Linked DNA regions of Ovis aries. The protein of the gene in region 1 purifies or fractionates together with the protein of each later gene. This does not show direct contact. Links are inferred from orthologs where the notes say so. Each region holds a gene or a part of one and is shown on either strand. Other genes may lie near its edges.

What was found.
Region 2: the proteins of RMND5A (region 1) and MAEA purify together in Homo sapiens (affinity purification with mass spectrometry; 5 studies listed by BioGRID and IntAct, counting the BioPlex papers as one, with this or other methods). This does not show direct contact. The link is inferred for Ovis aries from reciprocal best matches to the Homo sapiens genes RMND5A and MAEA.

What each region holds. Positions count from the first base shown.
Region 1 is NC_056056.1:58,559,059-58,564,361, reverse strand, and holds the start of RMND5A (E3 ubiquitin-protein transferase RMND5A), read right to left. Parts: upstream 3,531-5,303; 5' UTR 3,037-3,530; coding exon 2,895-3,036; intron 1-2,894.
Region 2 is NC_056059.1:117,810,581-117,815,852, forward strand, and holds the start of MAEA (E3 ubiquitin-protein transferase MAEA), read right to left. Parts: upstream 3,409-5,272; 5' UTR 3,389-3,408; coding exon 3,320-3,388; intron 1-3,319.

The DNA.
Region 1 (5,303 bases):
GCCTTTAGTCTCTAGGGGCTTTCTTGGTGGCTCAGACAGTAAAGAATCTGCCTGCAATGCAGGAGACCAGGGTTCGATCCCTGGGTTGAGAAGATCCTCTGGAGAGGGGTATGGCAATGCACTCCAGTATTCTTGCCTGGAGAATTCCTTAGTCTCTTAATCCTATTCTTAAAGAATTAAAGAAAATCAAAGAGATTATCAATATAAAACTGCAATTTGTTAGATAGGAAGGTAAAAAATAGGCAGAACGCCACAATTCACATCAGACTGTTTGAACAACACAGCAAACTCTGTGACTAATATCCCTCTGACCGTAAGTTCCTCGAAAAGTCCCAAGGAAAGAGGTCTAAAACACATTTCTGCTTCAGCAAGTTCTCAAAATTATTTTATCCATCTGGGATGGGCCCCAAATCCCCTAAAACGATACTCAAATCATTCACCTTCAATTAATATTCTCTCTCTCTCTCATGGAAGAAAGGGATTTTTAAATAGCTTCTATCTTCTCTCTCATGGAATAAAGGGATTTTTAAATAGTTTCTGTCTTCTCTCTCTCTCAAACTCTACAAGCCCTCAATATTCAACCTGTTCCTTAAAAATGAAATCCTTCCTTCCACCTCTCCAAGTCTACACCCTTCACCTACTCCTACCTTTTTCAGTCTTTGCATGTGAAGCAGGCCCAACCCTTGGGACCCTACGGACTGTAGCCCACCAAGCTCCTTGGATTCTCCAGTCAAGAATACTGGAGTGGGTTGCCATAGCCTCCTCCAGGGGATCTTCCTGGCTCGGGGATCTAACTTGCAGCTCTTCTGTCTTCTGCATTGGCAGGCAGAAGCCACTAGCACCACCTGGGAAGTCCCTTTTCAGTCTTTAACGATACAAAAAGATTGCCTCTCCAGATGAGGGGCGGAAGGGGCACACCTTCAGCTCCCTTACTTAAGCAGCCTCTCTCACCTCAATCTATTATTTTTCTTAACTCCTAGTGATCTAGTTTAACAATTCTATGAAACTGCTTGCAAAGAGGCTATGACTCCCAATAGCCAAACACCAGCTGACCAACCTCTCTAAGCCTGCCCGTTCTGTTTCTGTTGGCACCTCCAGGACCTCCACTCTTCAAGGGGAGTTCAAGGCTGTGGTTAGACCCTACTGTCTTTCCTCTGTGTAATGTAATGATCTTCACTCTCCTTTGTAGAAGGACACCAGGACACCATCTTAAACCTTTCTTTGCTCCCACACTCCATCTATGCATCTTCAGCCAATAGGAAACATGATGCCCTTGACTAGGAAGCATGATGCCCTTGACTATCTTCATTAGTCCGTCAGTTTCTCACTTGTCCCAAACCAAGTTCACCAGAGCATTCCCAGGAGACCCATCCTACCCCACATCTACTTCCCCCTTGCAGGCAGCCGTCTAGGTCTGGTCATTTTTCCATATTCATACTTCAAGTCCTAACCCCACTGTGGTCACTGGGTTTCCTTCTTTCTCGGAGTTCACAAGTGACTGCCATGTCCAGGATGAGATGCTGTTATAAGACTCTTTCACCATGGATGGGGCTTCCTAGGTGGTTCAGTGGTAAAGAATCCACCTTCCAGTGCAGGAGACGTGAGTTCGATCCCTAGGTCGGAAAGATTCCCTAGAGGAGGAAATGGTAACCAACTCCATTACTCTTGCCTGGAAAACTGCATGGACAAAGGAGTCTGGTGGGCTACAGTCCATGGAGACGCAGTCAGACAGGACTGAGCCACGCACACAGGCACCATGGATGAGCACTAACTCTCAACTGAAAACAGCCTGGGAAAGGAAAGTGTACAGGAAGGAACAGAGGTGGAGAGAAGTTCAGCCAGTGCCACTGTCCTCAACCACACTTGCTCCAGTGTCCACATGTGACCCCAGCTACCAAACCTTCCTTATCAAAGATTTCTGTTCAACCTCTGAGTTGAGCAGGGCCCCAAACTCAACAAATCCATTCCATGAAGTCCATTACTTCTTGCTCAGAAAGAATCATCACTACAGACATTTTAACCTAAAGAATACCAGACTTTTCATGTTATTTAAAGAACCCAAACCCAAAGAATCCCACCCAGCTTCCACAAGTTAACTGCAGCCAAGTATCTTCCCCCAGGGCCTAGGGCTATAATAATAGAGAAGAAACACCTTCCATTGAAAACCTGCTTTCTGAAAGGAAAACAAGTAAAAACTTGACCAGGTAACGCATGTAACTAACAACTTGCTCCACAAGGTGTTTCTGGGGAGGCTGCCTCCCGTCTCATCGCAGAATGCATCTGGGAGAGCTTAAGTTTGATTTAGCTAGTTTCTTAGGAATCACATTAGTGCCGCTGCGGAGTTGAAAGAAAGGCTTCTTCTACAGAGAGTCAAATTATGGAGGTGAAGCAGCGGCTGTTTTGTTAACCCACAGCTAAGAATAACATGCGAGTTTCTAATTTTAAAAAAAAAATGAAGAAAGACGAGCAAAGTCAGTCCCTGGCTAAATGTTTGGGGCGAGGAGGAGGAGGAGGGGTGGGGCTCTCTGCACTGACCCTCTCTTCGCCCGGATCCTCCGGCCCAAGGCAATTAACTAGGGACGCCCACCCCGCGAGGGAGGAAATCTGCAGGTGCGACGAGCCGGCCCCGCGCCCGGGTTTAACCCTGGATGGAACCCGTGGCTCCAGAATTGGCTTCCGGATGGATTCCCGCTCTCTTTTAATTAACAACAAGGTCGGGGTAGGTTCAAGACAGATCGGGGGGAGAAGAGAAGGAAAAGTCACAGGGGCCTGGGGATCTCAGCGCCCCGGGGAAGGCCGGGTTTGGCCTCTCGGAGGCACCCTCCTGGCCCGCCTGGGCCCGAGGGGTCGGGGTGGGTGGGCCCGGTCCCACGCGACCATCCGGGCCGCCTTACCGTGGCTCTGCAGGATCTCGTGCTTGAGGCCACCCGTGTAGTCGATGAGCTCCTCCAGGCCGCGCTCGCACAGTTGCCCATAGCCCGAGAACTTGTGCAGCACCTTCTCCAGCTCGCGCTCCACCGTCACGCACTGATCCATCCCGGAGGCGGCGGTGGCGGTGTTTTGCTCCTCGGCTCCCGAGTGTCCGCAGCCGTTCGGCCCGGGCCCGGCCGAGGCCGCGTCCTGCTCCTCGTCCCCCAGGCGGGCGGCGCGAGAGGCCGAGGCGGCGGAGGCGCTAGCCCCGACGCCAGGGGAGCCTCGCGAAGCCCGCGCCCGCCTGCCCCATGGCGCCCCGGCCCCGGCGCGTAGCCGCTGCTCTCGCTAGTTGGTCAGACTCGGCCCCGCGCCCCGGCTTCCCCGCTCGCCGCGTTCGGCTGCCCGCCGCGGCGCCGCCGATTGTTTTTGTTTTCAAGGGAACCGACCGATGACCTGGTTCTCCCGGGCGGCACCAAGCGCCGCCGACCCGAGGGGGGCAACCACCCCAGCTAGAGAAGGAGGCGGCGCGGGTCGTACCAAGCGCACCGTCGAGGGGGGTCAACCAGGCGAGCGCGGGCGGAGGAACACAGCCGCTCGCGCCGCCGCTCTAAAGGTGTGGGCCGTACCACGCGGGAGGCGTGCGAGGGAGCGGGAGAGGGGGGAGCCAGCGCCCAATTGGTCCAAAGAGCTAAATTGGGAACTTTAGAGACAGCCCCAGAGCTCCGAGAGCGCTACAACTACGCGCTCCGTAAACAAGTGGGTGGAAACCGGCCCTAGCGACTCCGCCCAGAAACGGGGAAAACGAGCCAATGGGCGCCGGGAACACGTAAGGACCCAACGTTCTCCAATCCCAGGCCGAGGCGTAACCCTTAAGCCAATCCGGGACTAAGGGCCAAACCAATAGACTCGTTGTTGGAGGGGGTGACTTGAAGAGCATCTCGGGAAGCTAGGCGTTTTGGGGAAACCATAAGGAAAAACAAGGCAGAAATAAAGAGGTCTATTTCCTGTAGGACTTCGCCCTAGCCTTGTATTATTTCCTCTCCCTATCACTCAAGGGGGTACGGTCGTTCCGAAGTTTTGGAAAACGGATTCGCCGCCCGGGGAGGGGGGGGGCGGAAATCCAGCTGGGCCGGACGGGGTGGGAGGTGCTACGGGCTAGGGTCTCTAACAAGCATGAAAGGCGGGGGTGGTTGTGGGGCTGCAGAAGGGGGTGGCCGGGCGTAGCCTACGGTGCTCCCTCGACTCTGGCGACACTAGGAGGTCACACGCCTCACACACACACACATACACACACACACACACACACACACCACCCCCGCAGGCCTTGGCCCTTTGGCCCCTGGGCCTGGAGCCTCTCCTGACCGGTTGCTTCACCCCGCGTGTAAGACGGGCAGCTTCGCGGACAGGAAACTCTAGTCGGAGATTGGGGCAGTCTGGCCCCCGCCTCTGCGGCGCCTTATTCCATTCAGTAGGTTGGAATTACCCTTTTGCGTAAATCCTTCCCTGACTTGACGATGGTGCCTCCAACCTTGGCCTAAACCTACTTGCGCCTTGAGTTGCAGCTGAGGAGGAGCCACGCTGCTGCTTGCCTCGGGGCCTCTGTACTTGCATTTTCTTTGACCTGGAAAACTCTCTACCTTCTCGTCCTAAAATGAGCTCCCTTGTCCCACTGAGGGTCCTCCCAAGACCGCACTCCCTCCTCCATTGCTATGTCATTTATTATACCAATTGTATCATCAGTTTTATTCTTTGCACACCATTATTAAAATCTGAAATGATCTGATTCAATTTTTTTTTACATAGGTGAGCCTTTATTCGTATTCAATGGCTTATTCTTTTTCACTTTTATTTAGTATATTATCATTTTAACAACTTAAAATGTTATTCCGCAGATTAGGTGACAATGATTTCTTTAATCTGAAAATTAAACTCTTTAAGAGTTGGAAACTATTAACTCAGACAAGCAACTAACCGATTCCCGGAATTGTTCCAGTTGTAGAAGGGAAAACACTCTCACAGCATGCTTTTATTTTTAGTGCTGATGGGGAATAATTTATATCCCATTGGTTCTCAAGTAAAGAATGGGTAATGAAACAAAAAAGACCTTTTCCTAGTTTTATTCGTTTGCTTTTCTATAGATTTCCAATAAGGCAGCCCCCTTGCCTGTGTTTTCTGTGCAGGAAACACTGCCTGGAGACATAGTATGCTATACATGGTATACTTTTTAAATTTAGGTAAAATCTCATTGAGCCTCAATTTCCTTTTTTTATAATTCGGAAGTAATTAGGATTAATAATACTGAACTCCATTGTTAGGAAAGTTAAGTGAGGTAACTTATGAAAACACCCCGAAAGCAGCACATGATAACCACATGATGAATGGTGGTGGTG
Region 2 (5,272 bases), on another chromosome or scaffold:
GTACCCTTCTCTGGAGCGCCCCTCGGACACAGGAGCCTGGAAGGCCACAGTCCACAGGATCGCACAGAGCTGGACACGACTGAAGCGACTTGGCACGCATGCAAAGAAAAAGGAGGTGAGGACCCAGCCCGCGGCCACCATGCCCTCGTCTCCAAGGCCCCGTGCTTCGCGCCACCGGCGCGTCTCAAACCTCAGACCACGCGGATCCCCAAGTCCAGCTGAGACCGAGTTTGGAAAACTGGACTGCAAGTTGTAACTTTAGGCATATACTTGGAACGCAAAGTACAAAGCCAGGATTCGAAATTGCAGATAAGTACTTGGTCAACAAAACCGTCGCCAAGCTAAAAGTAGAAAACTTACATACTTCTATGGAGAATTAAAACACAGCCGAACTGTCCCCAGATAGAGTGGGGGCGACGTGCCGGGCAATGGGTGCTGGGAGCGGGTGCTGACACGGGCGACCCCTGGCCGAGGCGCCCAGACGAGGTTCCGGGTGCCCGGGGGGTGGGCCCAGGGGGACCCACGGGAGGAGTGAGGTGCAGGGCCGGTCTCCCATCACCAACACCACGTCCCCAATCCTGGCTGAGCGGACCCTGCTGATTCGCGGGGTGACAGACGCGCCTCTATAAAATACGATTTCCCTTCAGTTATCTGAAAGGAAAAAACAGAAGTAAAAACCCCAAAACCGAATGGGGCAGTCAGCAAAATAACTTGGAGAATGAACACAAATTGCTTTCATAATCAGAAAACACTTCCAAAGACAAAACAGGGTTTCCAGCTCACAGGTTTCCACTCCTCCTTCCCTGAGGCCCGGGGGGCGTGAGCCAGAGCCCACACGGACAGCACTCCAGGGAGCTTCGCCGGCCAGGCCAGGGCCCAGGCGCGCCCCCGGCGCCCACTGCGGGGAGGACGCCTCCCCCACAGCCAGGGCGGCCAGGCCAGCGGCTGTCAGCCGGCGGGGCGGAGGCCAGGGCTGCTGCTTGGCCTCCTGCAGCCCCACTGCAGACACGCGCCCCAGGGTCCCCAGGCCTGGGGTCAGGGAGGAGGGCAGGTCAGAAGGCGCCAGCAGCCTCAACCCGGCCGCGCCCCGCCGCCCCCCACCCGCCTCCTCTCTGAAGGAGGCTTGCCCGCGGCATACTGGTCCCCACTGCCTGCGGGAGGACCTGCCTTCGCGCTGGAGCTCGGCCTTCCAGCACCGGCCTCGGCCCCCTCCGCACCTCTGCACCCCGCTCAGATGAGACCAGCAGAGCTCCCGAGACAATCGCTTTCCTGTGCTCTAATTTTGCTTCCCAACCGAGCAGCCCTCGTTCCCAGTGAAACTTCCTCATCGCCCACTGGGAACTAGTCCCGAGAAAGGTTCACCAGCAGCGACACCTGTGTCAAGACGAGAGGGATTATCCTGCGGGATGTAAACAATCTGTACGGGAAAAACGGACAGAGCACCTCGTGAAAATTCTACTTTCCAAAATCACTCCAATAAAGCAGCGAAACATTTTCAGCTGGCAGGCTCACTTGAGACGACATTAGAACATCTCTCTGCCCCTAAGAATGGCGGCACGCCTCCTTTGCGCCTGTGCGCTCGGCTGTGTCCGACTCTGCGACCCCAACGACTCCTCTGTCCGTGGGATTCTCCAGGCAAGAACACTGGAGCTGGGTTGCCATTTCCTCCTCCAGGGGATCCTCCTGACCCAGGGGTCGACCCCACGTCTCCGGCCGCCTGCACTGGTAGGTGAATTCTTTTCCACTGAGCCACCTGGGAAGGCTGCGTGACTACTTCAGTCAAAGTCTATTTAACAGGTTTGGAACTCAAACTGCGTTCATGGTTATGAACTGAGAGAGGAGGACCTGGAGGAGACATCCTTCCAGTCTGGTGTTTCCCACTTCTCACGTCTCAGCCTCCTTGTCTGTCAGTGGAACGGCGGGCCTGATGGGGTCTGAGTGAGATAATGGGTCAGCAGCTAACAGCTCCCTACTCATACTTTTTTTGGTGCTGGTGGGGGCACTTAGTTGGGTGCATGGGGCAGCAGAGAACCCTGGCCTCTGAGATGCAGGGTCTTGCCTGAGTTGCGTATAAAAACACCACGCCCTACAAGGGGGTCCAGCAAACAGGCCTCTGGTTCACGTCAGCGGCACAGGGCTTCCCTCCCTCCCTCCCTTCCCCTCAGGGCTCAAGGAGTAAGGAGTGTGGCAGCTACCTCCCAAGCCAGAGCCCGCACTGCACCCTGAGCAGAGCAAACAATCTCCAAGGGTTCAGGACCCTCCAGAGGTCTCCTGAGAATCGACCAGAGCTCATGGCAATCTTGCCACAATGCACCCACCACCTGTCACCATTTTGGTGGACAGGGAAGCTGGGCCCTCCAGGAGCAGAGACGCTACTTGACTCCCAGGGAAAGAACTCAGACTTCCACAGGCTCAGCTGCAGCTCTCCTGGGAACGTTACAACCTTGATCCTTGAAGGAATTTACTCCCAGCTGTTTCACTGCAGCCAGTCAGCGTTGAATCCTCTACTAACTAGGTAAGAACTACTTGGGGGCCCCTCTCCCAGGAAAGGCGGTTCCACTGCAGTCTACGTCGACTTGGCTAAGCGGCCATCCAAGGTCACGCAACTGTCGGCCAAGCGGCAAGAGCTGTATTTCAGGTTTGGTGACGCCCCGCGGTGGTGAGGCCTCTCTGCACAGGTCCCTAATGAGAGGCTGGAAGCCATCCGTCAGCACCGTCTGACAGAAGCTTCCGGGACGAAAGCTGGACGCAACCGCCGGCTACCGGTCTTTCTCTCGCTGGGTGCCCCCGACCCCACAGCCCCGAGATCCCCGCCTCCAAAGCAACCAGCCTGGCCACGGCCAGAACGGTCCCTGCTGCGGCTCGCGTTCTTTCGAGGACGAAGGGCTCCAGAGGGCGAAGTGGGGCGCCAGGGAGACGCGCTCCCTGCCCAGTCGCGGCGGCAGAGACGGCCACACGCCGCGCCCGCCCGGCCCGCAGGTCCCCGGCCGCAGAGCGCAGGCACCCAGGCCCCAGGCCCCGGGGAGCCCGGCCGCAGAGCGCAGGCACCCAGGCCCCAGGCCCCGGGGAGCCCGGCCGCAGGCCCCGGGGAGCCCGGCCGCAGACCCCGGGGAGCCCGGCCGCAGACCCCGGGGAGCCCGGCCGCAGAGCGCAGGCACCCAGGCCCCAGGCCCCGGGGAGCCCGGCCGCAGGCCCTCGGCCCCCGCCCGGCGCCCCAGGCCGCGCCCCGGCCTCGGGCCCGCCCCCCACCGCCGCGCCCGCTCGCCGCCCCGCCCGCCGCCCCTGGCAGGCGCGGGCGCACCGCGGCCACAGACCCCACCTTGAGGGTCGGGTACTCCTGCACCTTCAGGGTCATGGAGAGCTGAGCGGCGGACTCCTGCACCGCCATCTTGGCTCGGCCAAAACATCAGGGGCGGCGGGGAGGCGCGGCGCGCGGCACGCCGGGTAGTGACGTCGAGGGGCGCGGCGGGCCGGCGCCCGCGCCCAGCGCCTCCGCTCGCCGCTCGGCGGCCGAGGAAGAAGGCGCGGCCACCGGCCCACCCAATCCCCGCCCGCCCTTCTCCCCTCCAGCCAATCAACGGGAAGCCCGGCTGGGCGGGGTCCCTCCTTGAACCTGAGGCGGGGTGGGGCCGGCGGCTCTGTGCGCGGAGCTCCCGGGTTGCCGGCGGCCCTGCGCCCGGCGCTGGCGGTCGGGGGCTCCCGCGGGGTGGGGGAGCGCGCTCCCGCGAGCAGCGCGGCCGTGGCGGTCACTGGGCTCCCGCGGGCCGGCCTCCAGCTAGTGAGCCCGCTGTGCCAGGACGTCTGCAGGCTCCCAGCGCCTGTCCGTGGGCTGCTCTCCGCAGAGGGGCGCGGCTGCAGCCCACAGCGGCGGCCCAGGCACCCGCGCTGGGGAGGGGAGGTGGCGGTTCTGAACTCGGCAAGGAAAGAGGCCGCCGCAGTGTACAAAGGCCCGGTGCGGGCAGAGCCTCCGGCGTCCCTGGCTCCCACACCGACTCAAGTTGCCTTTCAAACCGCTCCATATACTTAGCCCCTTTTAGTCCTTGCAAAAATAGAAATTAAATTAGGTTTCACTAGTTAGAAGACTTTCACATTAAGCCAAATTTCACACTCTTTTTAAATGATTTTTTTAAAGAAACATTAGCGTTAAAAACCCATGCACCTGAGGCGGCACAAGAAATCCACTGTTGCGGGGGGCACGCCGTCTGGACCCTCTACAGACATCTTCACCAGCCTCGCCACACACGCACACGCACGCACGCACGCACACACGTCAGCCTGAGTAAATACATCAGGGCTTTCAGAGTCTTCGCAGCTAAAGGCTAACTAACGAAGCCTCTGTCAGCTGTAATAGGATGACAGCCAGTTTTTTTCACCAGGAAACGAGAAATTAAGTGAAAGCCGCTCAGTCGTGTCCGCCTCTTTGCGACCCCATGGACTGTGTATGGAATTCTCTAGGCCAGAATACTGGAGTGGGTAGCCTTTCCCTTCTCCAGGGGATCTTCCCACCCAGGGATCGAATCCAGGTCTCCCGCATTGCAGGCAGATTCTTTACCAGCTGAATAAAAAGATCTGTAATTTAATAATATCTTAATTTTTTACGTGGGCAACACATTTCACCAAAGAAGGCACACGAACAGCTGAAGAACAAATGAAAAGACCCTCAACACCACTAGCCACAAAGACAGACCACTTCAAGCGCCAGATTAGCTATGACCAACACCGTGGAGGGACCAGAGTTCAGAACGCACAGAGAGGGGCCCACCACAGGCAAATCCGGAGCACAAGCCCCGGGAGCTCGTTTTCTAGGGAAAAAATCTGGGTGGGGCTCTGAGAGCCAGAGTCCACTGGAGGGGCGAAGCACAGAACCTTCCAAATTAGCTGGGCTGCTGGGGGCAGGGGCAGAGGGAAGTTTTCTTCTTCCTGCCAGAAAGCAGGTAGAAGTCTCTTCCAGTCAGGGAAATTGACACGCGAGGAGGGTATGAGAGCGCCTCCTACCGGCCTGCCTTAACTCCAAAGGCTAGCTGACTATTCCTTAATGAATTCCACATTTTCCCCTTTTGATCAACATCTTTCCTTGAAAGCATCACTGATCAAGAATCAGGGTCTTCCCACGTAGCAGACTGCCAGTGGCTTGTGGGAAAGGCTACCCACTCCAGTATTCTGGCCTGGAGACCTCCACAGACTATAAGTCAGTTCAGTTCAGTTCAGTCGCTCAGTCGTGTCCGACTCTTCGCCACCCCATGAATCGCAGCACGCCAGGCCTCCGGTCCAT